3 linked regions of the Macaca fascicularis genome follow. The protein of the gene in region 3 interacts with the protein of the main gene of each other region in a biochemical or structural test. Links are inferred from orthologs where the notes say so. Each region holds a gene or a part of one and is shown on either strand. Other genes may lie near its edges. The genes, in order: INSR, UBE2H and TRIM72.

What was found.
Region 1: the proteins of TRIM72 (region 3) and INSR form a complex in vitro, tested with the Homo sapiens proteins (2 studies listed by BioGRID). The link is inferred for Macaca fascicularis from reciprocal best matches to the Homo sapiens genes TRIM72 and INSR.
Region 2: the proteins of TRIM72 (region 3) and UBE2H form a complex in vitro, tested with the Homo sapiens proteins (2 studies listed by BioGRID). The link is inferred for Macaca fascicularis from reciprocal best matches to the Homo sapiens genes TRIM72 and UBE2H.

The regions. Positions count from the first base shown.
Region 1 is NC_088393.1:7,844,022-7,847,560, reverse strand, and holds part of INSR (insulin receptor), read left to right. Parts: intron 1-1,023; coding exon 1,024-1,153; intron 1,154-2,619; coding exon 2,620-2,754; intron 2,755-3,539. UniProt on the Homo sapiens protein: Receptor tyrosine kinase which mediates the pleiotropic actions of insulin.
Region 2 is NC_088377.1:171,449,747-171,453,851, reverse strand, and holds the start of UBE2H (ubiquitin-conjugating enzyme E2 H), read left to right. Parts: upstream 1-1,281; 5' UTR 1,282-1,700; coding exon 1,701-1,753; intron 1,754-2,683; exon of another isoform or gene 2,684-2,766; intron 2,767-2,928; exon of another isoform or gene 2,929-4,105. UniProt on the Homo sapiens protein: Accepts ubiquitin from the E1 complex and catalyzes its covalent attachment to other proteins. E2 ubiquitin conjugating enzyme that transfers ubiquitin to MAEA, a core component of the CTLH E3 ubiquitin-protein ligase complex.
Region 3 is NC_088394.1:29,402,365-29,406,567, reverse strand, and holds the start of TRIM72 (tripartite motif-containing protein 72), read right to left. Parts: upstream 2,803-4,203; 5' UTR 2,599-2,802; intron 2,178-2,598; 5' UTR 2,171-2,177; coding exon 1,781-2,170; intron 216-1,780; coding exon of another isoform or gene 1-215. Other genes in the region: PYDC1 (pyrin domain-containing protein 1), read left to right, coding at 1-215. UniProt on the Homo sapiens protein: Muscle-specific E3 ubiquitin-protein ligase that plays a central role in cell membrane repair by nucleating the assembly of the repair machinery at injury sites.

The sequences.
Region 1 (3,539 bases), on a different chromosome or scaffold from region 3:
TAGTCTTGATTTCCTGACCTCGTGATCCTCCTGCCTCGGCCTCCCAAAGTGCTGGGATTACAGGTGTGAGCCACCACACTGGCTTTTTTTTTCTTTTTTATGAGATGGAGTCTTGCTCTGTCACCCAGGCTGGAGTGCAGTGACAGGATCTCGGCTCACTGAAACCTCCACCTCTCAGGTTCAAGCGATTGTCCCGCCTTAGTCTCCCAAGTAGCTGGGATTACAGGCGTGCGCCACCACACCCAGCTAATTTTTGTATTTTTAGTAGAGACGGAGTTTCACCGTGTTGGCCAGGATGGTCTCAAACTCCTGACCTCAAATGATCCACCCGTGTTGGCCTCCCAAAGCACTGGGATTACAGGCATGAGCCACTGTGCCTGGCCTGGGCAAGATTTTGGATGGGGACTGCCCCCCACCAGGCTGTAATTTAATTGCATGTATTGATAAACTCACTTCTTTAAAAGATATGTTTGTAGGACCGGGGGCCCCGCCTGTAATCTCAGTGCTTTGGAAGGCCAAGGTGTGAGGACTACTTGAGTCCAGGAGTTTGAGACCAGCCTAGGCAACATAGTGAGACTCCATCTCTATGAAAAATTTTTTTAAAAAGGGGTGTGGTGGTGCACATCTGTGGTCCCAGCTACTCAGGAGGCTGAGGCAGGAGAATTGCTTGAATCAGGGAGGTAGAGGTTGCAGTGAACCGAGATCGCGCCACCGCACTCCAGCCTGAAGGACAGAGTGAGACTCCATACTAAAAAAACAAAAGAAAAAGAAAGAAAAATGTAGCTGCTTTGTCATTTGGTACCTTCTTTTCCCTCCCTTTGAATAGTAGCCCATCTTCCCCCTTCACTTCCCCATGTGCACCCTCAGAATCCCTTCTTACTGGATTTGGCTACCGCCCAGGTGAGCGCACACCAGGGCCAGGTGAACCCCTCTTAGGGCTCCGTGAGAGGTGGGGCAGTCAAGATGGCAAATGGTAGGACCAAGGCTGGAGGTTGAGAGCGTGTGAATCGTTTGTGTTGTCAGACTTTGGAATGACCAGAGACATATATGAAACGGATTACTACCGGAAAGGAGGCAAGGGTCTGCTCCCTGTACGGTGGATGGCACCGGAGTCCCTGAAGGATGGGGTCTTTACCACTTCTTCTGACATGTGGTGAGTTGTGTGTGGAGGGGTGGACGGACGCTGGGCTTGAATTCCAGGTGCTAGTAACAGCCAAGAGCGGGGGAAGGAAGCCTGCCATCCTCCTGGACCCCCCATCAAGGAAAGGAAGGCAGCGTCCTGTCTGAGGACCTTCCCATGGCTACTCTTATGTCCTAATTAATCCTGTAGGCATTGTGAACCCCGAAAATCGGAGACAGGTCTCAGTTAATTTAGGAAGGTTATTTTGCCAAGGTTGAGGACACGTGCTCATGACACAGCCTCAGGAGATCCTGACCACATGTGCCCAAGGTGGTCGGGGCACAGCTTGGTTTTATACGTATATTTTAGGGAGACGTGAGACATCAATCAACATATGCAAGATGACCATTGGTTGGGTCTGGAAAGGCGGGACAACTCGAAGCGGGGAGGGGTCTTCCAGGTCATAGGTAGATAAGAGACAAATGGTTGCATTCTTTGAGTTTCTGATGAGCCTCTCCAAAGGAGCCAATCAGATATGAATGTTTCTCAGTGAGCAGAGGGGGGACTTTGAATAGAGTGGGAGGCAAGTTTGTTCAAGCAGTTCCCAGCTGGACTTTTTCCTTGAGTTTAGTGATTTGGGGGCCCCAAGATTGATTTTCCTTCCATAGCATTTATGGACCGCAGCATGAATTGTTTTATTAACTGGCCAACCATGTTCTCGCAAACCAAGAGATGTGTTTGCGTGTTTGTGTGTGTGTGTGTGCGTTTGTGTATTTGCATGTGTGTGAGCGTGTGTGTGTGTGTTTGTGTGTATGTGTATGTGTGTTTGTGTGTTTGTGTATTAAACGTGTGTGTGTGTGTGCATGCATGTGTTTGCATGTGTGCTAGTTTGCCTGTGTGCGTGTTCGTGTGTGTGTGTGAATTTGCATGTGTGTGTGCACGTGTGCGTGTATTTGCATGTGTGCACATGTGTGTGCATGTGTTTGGGTGTGTTTGCATGTGTGTGCACACGTGTGTTTGCCTGTTCGTGTGTATGTGTATGCATATGTGTGCGTGTTTGTGTATTAAATGTGTGTGCCTGTGTGCGTGTGTTTGCGTGCGTGTGTACATGTGTGTTTGCGTGTGTGCTAGTTTGCCTGTGTGCATGTGTGTTTGTGTTTGTGTGTATTTGCGTGTGTGTGCACGTGTGTTTGCGTGTGTTTGTGTATTTACATGTGTGCACACGTGTGTGTTTGCATGTGTGTGTGCTAGTTTGCCTGTGTGTGTTTGCCTGTGTGCGTGCATGCGTTTGCATATGTGTTTGCATGTGTGTGCTAGTTTGCCTGTGTGCGTGTTTGTGTGTGTGTTTTTGCGTGTGTGTGTGTGCATGTGCATGTGTTTGCATGTGTGTTTGCGTGTGTTGTGTGCTAGTTTACCTGTGTGCGTGTGTGTTTGTTTGCGTGTGTGTTTGCTTGTGTGTGAATGGTTTCTTTGTTACTACTCTCAACTGTCATTGACAGGTCCTTTGGCGTGGTCCTTTGGGAAATCACCAGCTTGGCAGAACAGCCTTACCAAGGCCTGTCTAATGAACAGGTGTTGAAATTTGTCATGGACGGAGGGTATCTGGATCAACCCGACAACTGTCCAGAGAGAGTGTAAGTGTAGAAAGGGTTTGAGGTGTGTGAGGTGTGCATTGAAAGGGTATTGCCCTTTACACGTGTGCTTGGTTTTGCCTTTCCTATGCCTACACGCTCACTGTGTTTGCATGCTATATGTTACAGGTGTGTTTGTGTTTGCATAGCTTGTCTTTACATGCGTGTTTGCATTTGCATATTGCATGGTGGTACACACACTTGAGTTTCCATATGTGCTACATGTATGCTTGTTTGCATATTATATATTTACATAGGTATTTATGTTTGCATACTGTATGTTTACATGTACATCAGCATATGGCACATGTACACCTTGTTTACGTATCTTTATAAGCACACGTGTTTACATATGTGCTTGTTTACATATTATGTCTTTACTGGCATGCTTGTGTTCGCAAATCGTAAGATTTTCTTGCATATTGTATAGTTGGAATGTTGCATAAGAAACCCGTAGCAGTAGTTATCTTGGGAGAAGGGAACTGGAGACCTGGGAATGGGGGAGCGAGACCTATGTTTGGCTGTTAATTATTTATACGCTGAAAATTTTGTCACGTGGCTGGGAATGGGTGGCTGTAATCCCAGCAATTTGGGAGACCGAGGCGAACAGATCACCTGAGGTCAGGAGTTCAAGACCAGCCTGGCCAACATGGTGAAACCCCATCTCTATTAGAAATACAAAAATTACCTGGGTGTGGTGGTGGGCACCTGTAATCCCAGCTACTCAGGAGGCTGAGGCAGGAGAATTGCTTGAATCTGGGAGGCAGAAGTTGCAGCGAGCAGAGACT
Region 2 (4,105 bases), on a different chromosome or scaffold from region 3:
GAATGGCGTAAACCCGGGAGGCGGAGCTTGCAGTGAGCTGAGATCCGGCCACTGCACTCCAGCTCGGGTGACAGAGCGAGACTCCGTCTCAAAAAAAAAAAAAAAAAAAAAAAAGAATCACCTGGGGACCTTGTTAAAACTGCAAATTCTCATTCAGTAGATCTGAAGTGAAGCTCTAGCGGCATTTCTAACAAGTTCCCAAGTGATGCTGACACTATAGACCCACAGACTATACTGGGGGGCTGTGTAAATTTAGTCTTCCTTTTCCTTTTTTTTTTTTTGGAGACAGAGTCTCACTCTGTCGCCCAGGCTGGAGTGCAGTGGCACGATCTTGGCTCACTGTAACCTCTGCCTCCTGGGTTCAAGCGATTCTCCTGCCTCAGTCTTGCGAGTAGTTGGGCCTACAGGCGCCCGCCACCACGCCCGGCTAATTTTTGTATTTTTAGTAGAAATGGGGTTTCACCACGTTGGCCAGGCTGGTTTTGAACTCCCGATCTCAGGTGATCCTCCTGCCTCGGCATCCCAAAGTGCTGGGATTACAGGCGTGAGCCACTGCGCCCGGCTAAATTTAGTCTTTCTTAGTTCACCATTATATCCTCATGTCCAGCAAGGTGATTAGCACATAGGAAGTGCTTAATAAATATTTATTGAATGAATGAAGTATTTAAGATTGGTGTAGGAGGTTCACACACTTTGCGAAGTTGCCTCATGCTCTGTAGAATAAGGATAGTAGTACTAAATTATTTCTGACCTTACCACATTGCTGTGTAAACTCTAATCTTTGAAATAGTGCCCGTAGACACGTGGATTGTGATGAACCCTGGTATTGAAGCCTGAAGAAGCCTTGCTGTGGTCTACAATCCTTGGAAACAAATTCTCTCCAGCCAAGGAGGGAGCGGAGTGCAAGGAACCTGCTGGTGTGGGAATTTCCAGATTTTGGTGCCTGAGTAATTGCTACCTTGGCCTCCTCCAAATCAAAGAAATTAACAGCTTGTTAAACAGAGTGTGTGTGGAGGTTCGTTAACCTAAAATCCACGCATTTAATAATATTGCCATTATTTACTATTATCGTTTAGGATGATGATAACGACACTGGCAGTTGAGCGATGAAGTAGGTGGGGAAGTTGGGGGAGGGGACAGAGGGTGTGAGACAGCCGGAGAAAGAGGAACTACAACTCCCAGAATGCACCGGGAAAGCCCACGCCGCAGCGGCGCCCCACCCCTCTCAGCGTCCAGGCCCGCCCCCTCCGATGACGTCACCTCTGTGACGTCACGGCGCCCAGAGCGAGGCTGGGGTAGGGAGGCCGACTGAGCAGGAGTCGTCCGCTTGTAGTGGAGGCTGCTAGGAGCCGGTCAGAGGGTGAGTGGGAAACAGGCGAGCGAGCCAGAGCAGGCAGGAGGGAGCGTCGCGCGGCGCAGAGGAGTGCCGGGGCCGGGCCGCGGCGGAACCACAGCCAGAGAGGGGCTGCCCGAGCCGGGCGCCGCGGGGTCCCCACCCCCACCCGGCCGGACAGTGCCCGGTGTTCCCCCGTGCGGGGGGCGGCGGCGGCGGCTGACGGGACCGCCGGGACCGCGGGGGTGTTGCCACCTCCACCGAGGAGCCGGCGCGGCCGCGGGCTCCTCAGAGCCGGGGCCCGGGGCCCGTGACAGACGGGCCGAGGAAGGGAGAGAGGCGGCGGCGGGGAGGCGGCGGCGACACCATGTCATCTCCCAGTCCGGGCAAGAGGCGGATGGACACGGACGTGGTCAAGCTGTATCCTTCGTGGAGGGGAATTCGGGATGTGTGTGGGGGGCGGTGTGGGGATGCCCAGGGCACCCCCGAAACCACTGCAAAGGCCTTGGGGCACTCCAGGCCACTGTCCGAGACTCCCCTCCTCCCCCAGTGCCTACGGCGGCTCCTTGGCACCTCCCAGGGGCCGAGAGCCTTTTCAGCTCGCCTTTTTCCCGCAGCACCCCGAAATACGCGTTGCTGCTCGCTCTTCCTGTATCCCCACAGCCCGTGACTTTCCTTCGCGACGTTTGGACTCCCAGACGGCCTTATTTCTTTTTGCAGGACCAGTCGCCTCACTCTCTACCACCGAGCCCATCTTCAGGGTTTCTCTCTCCTGTTTGCTCCCTCTGGATTGAGGGACTCAAGGCAGAAATTCCCGAGACGGAAGCCTTTCTCCCTTCCTTGAGATGCCCCCATTTCCTCCAACCACAATGCTGCTTGAACTGGGGTCATTCAAGCGACCTCTTTTATCCCTAATTCCTTTCTATATTAGGAAGAGAGTCGCCTGCTCAGGGCCCCCTCTTCTAAGAAAGAGCTCTGTGTGTTTTCAGTCAGTCCCTCCTGTTAAGCTTTCTGGTCCCCGGGAGAACCCTACTGTTTTCCTTTCCACTGACAAAGCCTGTCCCACCCATGGTTGTATGTGATGAAGACCCTTGGGCCCTCCAGCAAGCCACCCTCCATGTTGTGGGTATGACAGCCGGGGAAAGAGGAGCTCCTGGACAAAATAGTCCCTGGACTGGCCACTTGGGCAAAACTTCCTCTGTGAGGGTCAGCTTCTTGGGGGAATACTTGCCCTGATGTCGCCAAGTGACACCCTTTATTTTCTGCCCCCTCCCCCCAACTTTCTGCACTCTGGAGGCTGCAGTGGGAAAGCCATAACTGATAAGAGCCCTTCAGGCAGTGGTTTTGGTTGAAGTCCAGACTGATTATTTAAGGACCAGCTAGAGAAATTCGCGAAGGTTCCTGTGACAAATGGAGAATTTGTTTTTTGAAGGGTAATTTAGAGGGTGGGGGGAGCCCAGAGTTCTGAACAGCTAGTCCTTGGGGAGGGGGGAAAGTGGGGGCTTAGGGGGTGGTACTGTGGAACACAGTTTAAAAGTCCTGTCTCCTGTTTCTCTCCCTTCACCCCATCCCCCCACCGTTTCCCCCTGTTGCAGGGTTTTGTTTATATAACTCAAGTTGTTTGGCTAAATTCTTCAGGTGAATTCCTTTTTTCTTCCTTTTACTTGTTGCTGTTTTTGATTGTTTTACTTCTTTGTAGAGGTCAGTGATTATTGTCAAAAAATTCAGTTAGGGAATTTGCTGAAGTTTTAAAAAAGTAGTTTTTGCATATGGTTTGGCAATGGGGGATGGGAGGGAAGTTGTCTGGGCAAGATATTTTTAAAAAAATAATCTTTTCAGAAATAAGGTGTTTTTCTCCTTGCTCAGGGAAAACTTGGCTAGAAATTAGGAGCAGTAGATAGACTTCTAAGTTTGTGGTTTGGAGTTTAGAATTTTTTGGGGGTGGGAGATTAGAGCGGAGCAACTAATAAAGTATAGCGTACCTAATATATGTTCAGGCACAAGTGAAATCAACTCTTTATGAGCTGTTTGTGGCTGTGATTGTTTTGTAAATGTGTGAATGATACCAGTAATGTTGGCTTTTCATAAGGCTGCAGGAAAACTTGTAACTAACTGACTGTGTGTACATTTTAGACAAAGCAGTTTCAGGTTTTATTTTTGTTTAGAAACTAGGAAATGACATGGTGGCAGAATCTGATTTATTTTTATCTTGAATTGAGAGTTACTGTCACACCTAATGCGAATTTCTACCTAATGTTTAATTGGGATGGAGTGGGGAGATAGAATTCCAGCTGTTTGTGATCATTGTCAGAGTCTCAAATTATGTACATAGACATATTTTTAAAAGATTGAGGATAAAGAGGGGGGCCTAACTTGACCTGATGCCTTTTCCATACAGTGCCTTTTGTTCATTTAGTAGTTGTGGCATCTAGAATGATTACCGCATTTAGGAGTCGGGGTGTGGGGGGTGGAGAGGGAGAGGAAAACAGACAAAGAACAGCAGGGTGTCTTTTTTTTTCTCCCCCTAAGTGGCTTATTTCATAGCTTATTTTTAGTAGAAGATGAAGAAAGGCAAAGATGCATTGGCCTTCTGTTCTTTCCCCACCTTCCTTCCTTTCTGACAAAAGAAAGCAGGGGCGCTTTAAAATTGTAGATCTGAGATAGGAGGATAACAGTTTTAAGATTTAAAAGCCAGAGGTTATCTTTGTTTCGTGTTTATTTTCTGGTATAACGGAGTTTGGAAGTTAAAATGTTTCGGATTTCCTTTTGTGT
Region 3 (4,203 bases):
TCAAGATGAAACTGGGGACTGTGCCACTGCGCGAGGGCTTTGAGCGTATCCCGCGGGGCGCACTCAGGCAGCTAGACATCGTGGACCTCACCGACCAGCTGGTCGCCTCCTACTACGAGGACTACGCAGTCGAGTTCGTCGTGGCCGTGCTGCTCGACATGGGCATGCTGGAGGAGGCGGCACAGCTGCCGCGGGCCGCGCGAGGGCCACTCTGAGCTGGTACGTGATCTAGGGACCCAACCCCGCTTCCTCGCCAAGGACCCAGGCGTCGGGTCCCGCCCAGAGCCTTCCTGTTCCCCTCCTCCTTCAGGGTCCCTCCTGGGGTCTTCCCTCAGACCTCCGGCCAGCCCCTCCCGGCGGCGAAGGGCTGGGCTGCAGCGAACCCCGGTGGGCTGCATCTCGCCCCACTGCCCCCTTCCAGGCTCCTGGGCTGCCTGGGCCCTGTTCCGTTTCATGGGTTCCGTGCTCTCTTCGCAGATAAAGACGGGCAAGGTTGGGCGAGGTTGGAATGCGCTCAAAGCCCTCGCGCAGTCGCACAGTCCCCAGCTTCATCTTGAATTTCTTTCTTTTCTTTCTTAAGCACAGGTGTGCTGGGATGGGAGGGCTCCCGGGAGGAGGCTCCTGCCCTGAGCTAGGAGACCACCAGCTAGGCCTGGGCTGAACTGGGCCAGGCAGGAGCTGGCGGGACTGAGAGGCTGGGTCCTTGGGAAGCCCGGGGGCCTCGAATACCAACGAAAGGACGGTAGTCTACCCCCTCTAGGAGGCAGGCCAAGGGAAGGAGTAGTGCAACGCCTGTGAAGCCAGCCCCGCGCGCGCACCAGTAGCGTAAGACGACGGCAGTGTCTCCACCTCGGGGACCAAGGACGCCTCCGTGCCTCCAGACCCCGCCTCCTCCAGCCCCTGCACCTGTCATTTCTTCTTCCACTGCCCAATAAATATTCATGACAGATTTTCCTGGGGCTGCGCGCACACGTGCCCGCCGGTAGCTACACGCGTGTGCTTTTGCCACACGTATAGCACGCACTAGCCAGTGTGCGTGGGTCTCTATTTGCCTCTGTCTGGGTGTCTGCTGAGTACCTCGGGACGCACACAACCACGTGTGGGCTCCCAAGGCGTTCGGGACTTCCAGCTCCACCCAGAAAAACATCCTGGACGGGGCTCTCGGTGCCACCCTGGGTCCGCGCACGCAAGTGCAGATCCCGGTTGCCTGGCCCTTCCAGTCTCCCTTTTGGTGAGGCCCCGCCTGGGGACCGTGAGGCCAGCCAAAGTTCCGAAGTTTCAGGGGTGCGTGGGCCTCCGCTGAGCACCACAGGACAGCCCTGGCCCGGCCGCCTGGCTCGGCCCGGAACGCCGCGCCTCCATTCCAAAGTGGGCCAGCGCCGCGCAGGGAGCCTGCCCGACCGGCCCACCTGGTGAAGGAATGAGCGCGTGGGCCGTAGGGGCTGGTCAGTCGCTGCTCCGCCTGGTTCCGGCCCGCCCATCAGACCAGCCCTGGGGCTCCGCCCTCCCATCTCCAGGTCCCTCTAGAGGCTAAGGCCGGGAACCTAGGTTTGCTCAGCCCCCTTCTCGCCAGTCTCCGTCCCTGCGCGGCTTTCCTCTGTCAGCCCCGCCTTCAGCTCCTCAGACACTCTTTCCTGGCTGCTTCGCCCCGCCCCCGACCCCGGCAACTCCAGGTCCTCTTTAGAGACTCAGAATCCAAATCAGTACAGCGACCTCCCCAGCGGCCAGCCCCCGCGCCGCCGAACAACCCCTCCGACCCCGATGCGCTCGGATCCCGCACCTTGAGGCGTGCGTGGGCCTCGGCGGCGGGCAGCAGGCGATGACCGCGGTGCGAGCCGAGTGAGGCGCACACTCCGCACACCAGCGCGCGGTCCTGCTCACAGTAGATGCTCAGCGGGTCCAGGTGCTCCTCGCAGTGGCCCTGCGGCACCTGGGCCAGCCCCTCCACCAGGCGCGCCAGCTGCAGGTTGGTGCTGAGTGCCTGCGGCCGCGTGGGGGCCTGACAGCAGGGGCAGAGAACGGTGCCATCCGCCGCCGGTTCCCCGGCCACGCGGCCCAGGCAGGCGCGACAGAAACTGTGGCCGCACTCGGCTGTCACGGGCGCGTCGAACAGCTGCAGGCACAGCGGGCAGGACAGCTCCTGGTGCAGGAGGCCGGGCGCAGCCGACATGGCGGGCCTGGGTGGAGGAGGAGTCGGTTAGGGGGACCCACGGCGCCGTGCTCCCGGCCCAGCCCTGGCCCAGGCCGGGCCCGCCGCGCCGCAGGGAGAAGCCGCAGCCTGTAAAGACCTCCCATCCTACACTGGATGGGGCTCTGACCGCCAAAGGGGAAGAGGAACTCGGTCTCAGGTCCAAAAGTAGCCTCCACTGCAATTCTCAGCTCCAGCTCCAAAAATATGCTCTATTGGTCAACCCCAGTTCCTGAACACAAGCCCAGGTCCTAGCCCACTGTCCTTGCCCTCGCCTTAGCCCCAGGCTTCAGCCTCTGACCTCAGCCCTGGCCCCAAATTCTCCAGAGCCCCCACTTCGAGACTCCCCTCCCCCACTTTACCAAGATCTCCAGCCCTCCCCTCCCCCCCTTCCAGCCCACGGGACTCACAGGTCTGGTTGGAGATCTTAGGCTGAAAGACACTGGAAGGAGGACCGGTAAGGGTCGAGCCGAGCTGGACTGGGGTCAGGGCTGTGTCCAAAGATCTGAGACAAGCAGCAGGCTCCAAGCAAGGACAGGGACTCACAGGGGAAGCTGGCAGTGGACACCACGCGTGATGGGCACACAGTGCTCAGTGGAAGACCCTCCCAGACTGAGCCATGGCTCCAGGACTATATTTAGCTGCCCTGCCCAATCCCTCCCATCACTTCCGGAAACCGTTCTAAAAGTGAGAGCTGAGTAGTCCCCGTGCACGCATCACATGCCAGGGCCACCTGTCTTGGCCCATCCACTGTTCCCTCCCCAGCCAGCCTGTAGCCAGAGCTCAGAGCCAGCGGGGAGACAGGACCTTTCTCACCACAGAAAAGACAGAAAATTGAGGGGGGATCTCCCCTTTCTCCCCCAACTCCCACCTCCACACTCTCCAGCTCCTTCCTCCTTGCTGGCAGCCGCTCCCCAGCCTGTTGCCCATTCATTCCCCAAGTTTATGGCTGACCAAGGTCACCCTGGCAGGATTATCCCACCTGCAGGAGGGCAGGACCTCACCCCACTCTGAAATGTTTTCTTCCTCCAGAGCTGAGGGGAGGGTCTTCTCCAAGTTGGTCTCTCTAGTACACCCAGGACAAGCCTTGGGGCAAAGTAGGCCTCTCTAAATGCTTGGAGAATTAATGACAGAGAGAGATTGAATAAATGAATGAACTGAATCCAGAGCCTGCAGCCCAGAACTCAATTCTGCCCTGGTTCCTGTATGTGTATCTTTCAAATCTCAGCTGAAATTTCATTTAAGTGGCACTGGGATAACTGGCTAGACATATGCAAGAGAATGAAAGTGGACCCCTGCCTTTCACCATATAAAAAAATTAACTCAAGATGGGTTAAAGACTTAAATGTAAGACTTCAAACCATAAAAATTGTAGAAGAAACCCCAGGAGAAATACCATTCTGGATATCAGCCTTGGTAAACTATTCGTGACTAAGTCCTCAAAAGCAACAAAAACAAAAATTGTTAAGTGGGGCCTCATTAAACTAAAGAGCTTCTTCACAGCAAAAGCAAAAGCAACTATCAACAGACAGACAACTGAAGAATGGAAGAAAATATTCACAAACTATGCATCCAACAAAGATCTACCATCCAGATTATATAAGGAAACTAAACATTTCAACAAGCAGAAAACAACTCCATTAAAAAGTTGGCAAGGGCCAGGTGCGGTGGCTCACACCTGTAATCCCAGCATTTTGGGAGGTCCAGGCGGGTGGAACACTTGAGGTCAGGAGTTTGAGACCAGTCTGGCCAACGTGGTGAAACCTCGTCTCAGAAAAATACAAAACTGGCCGGGCGCGGTGGCTCAAGCCTGTAATCCCAGCACTTTGGGAGGCCGAGATGGGTGGATCACGAGGTCAGGAGATCGAGACCATCCTGGCTAACACAGTGAAATCCCTTCTCTACTAAAAAATACAAAAAACTAGCCGGGTGTAGTGGCGGGTGCCTGCAGTCCCAGCTACTCGGGAGGCTGAGGCAGGAGAATGGCATAAACCCGGGAGGCGGAACTTGCAGTG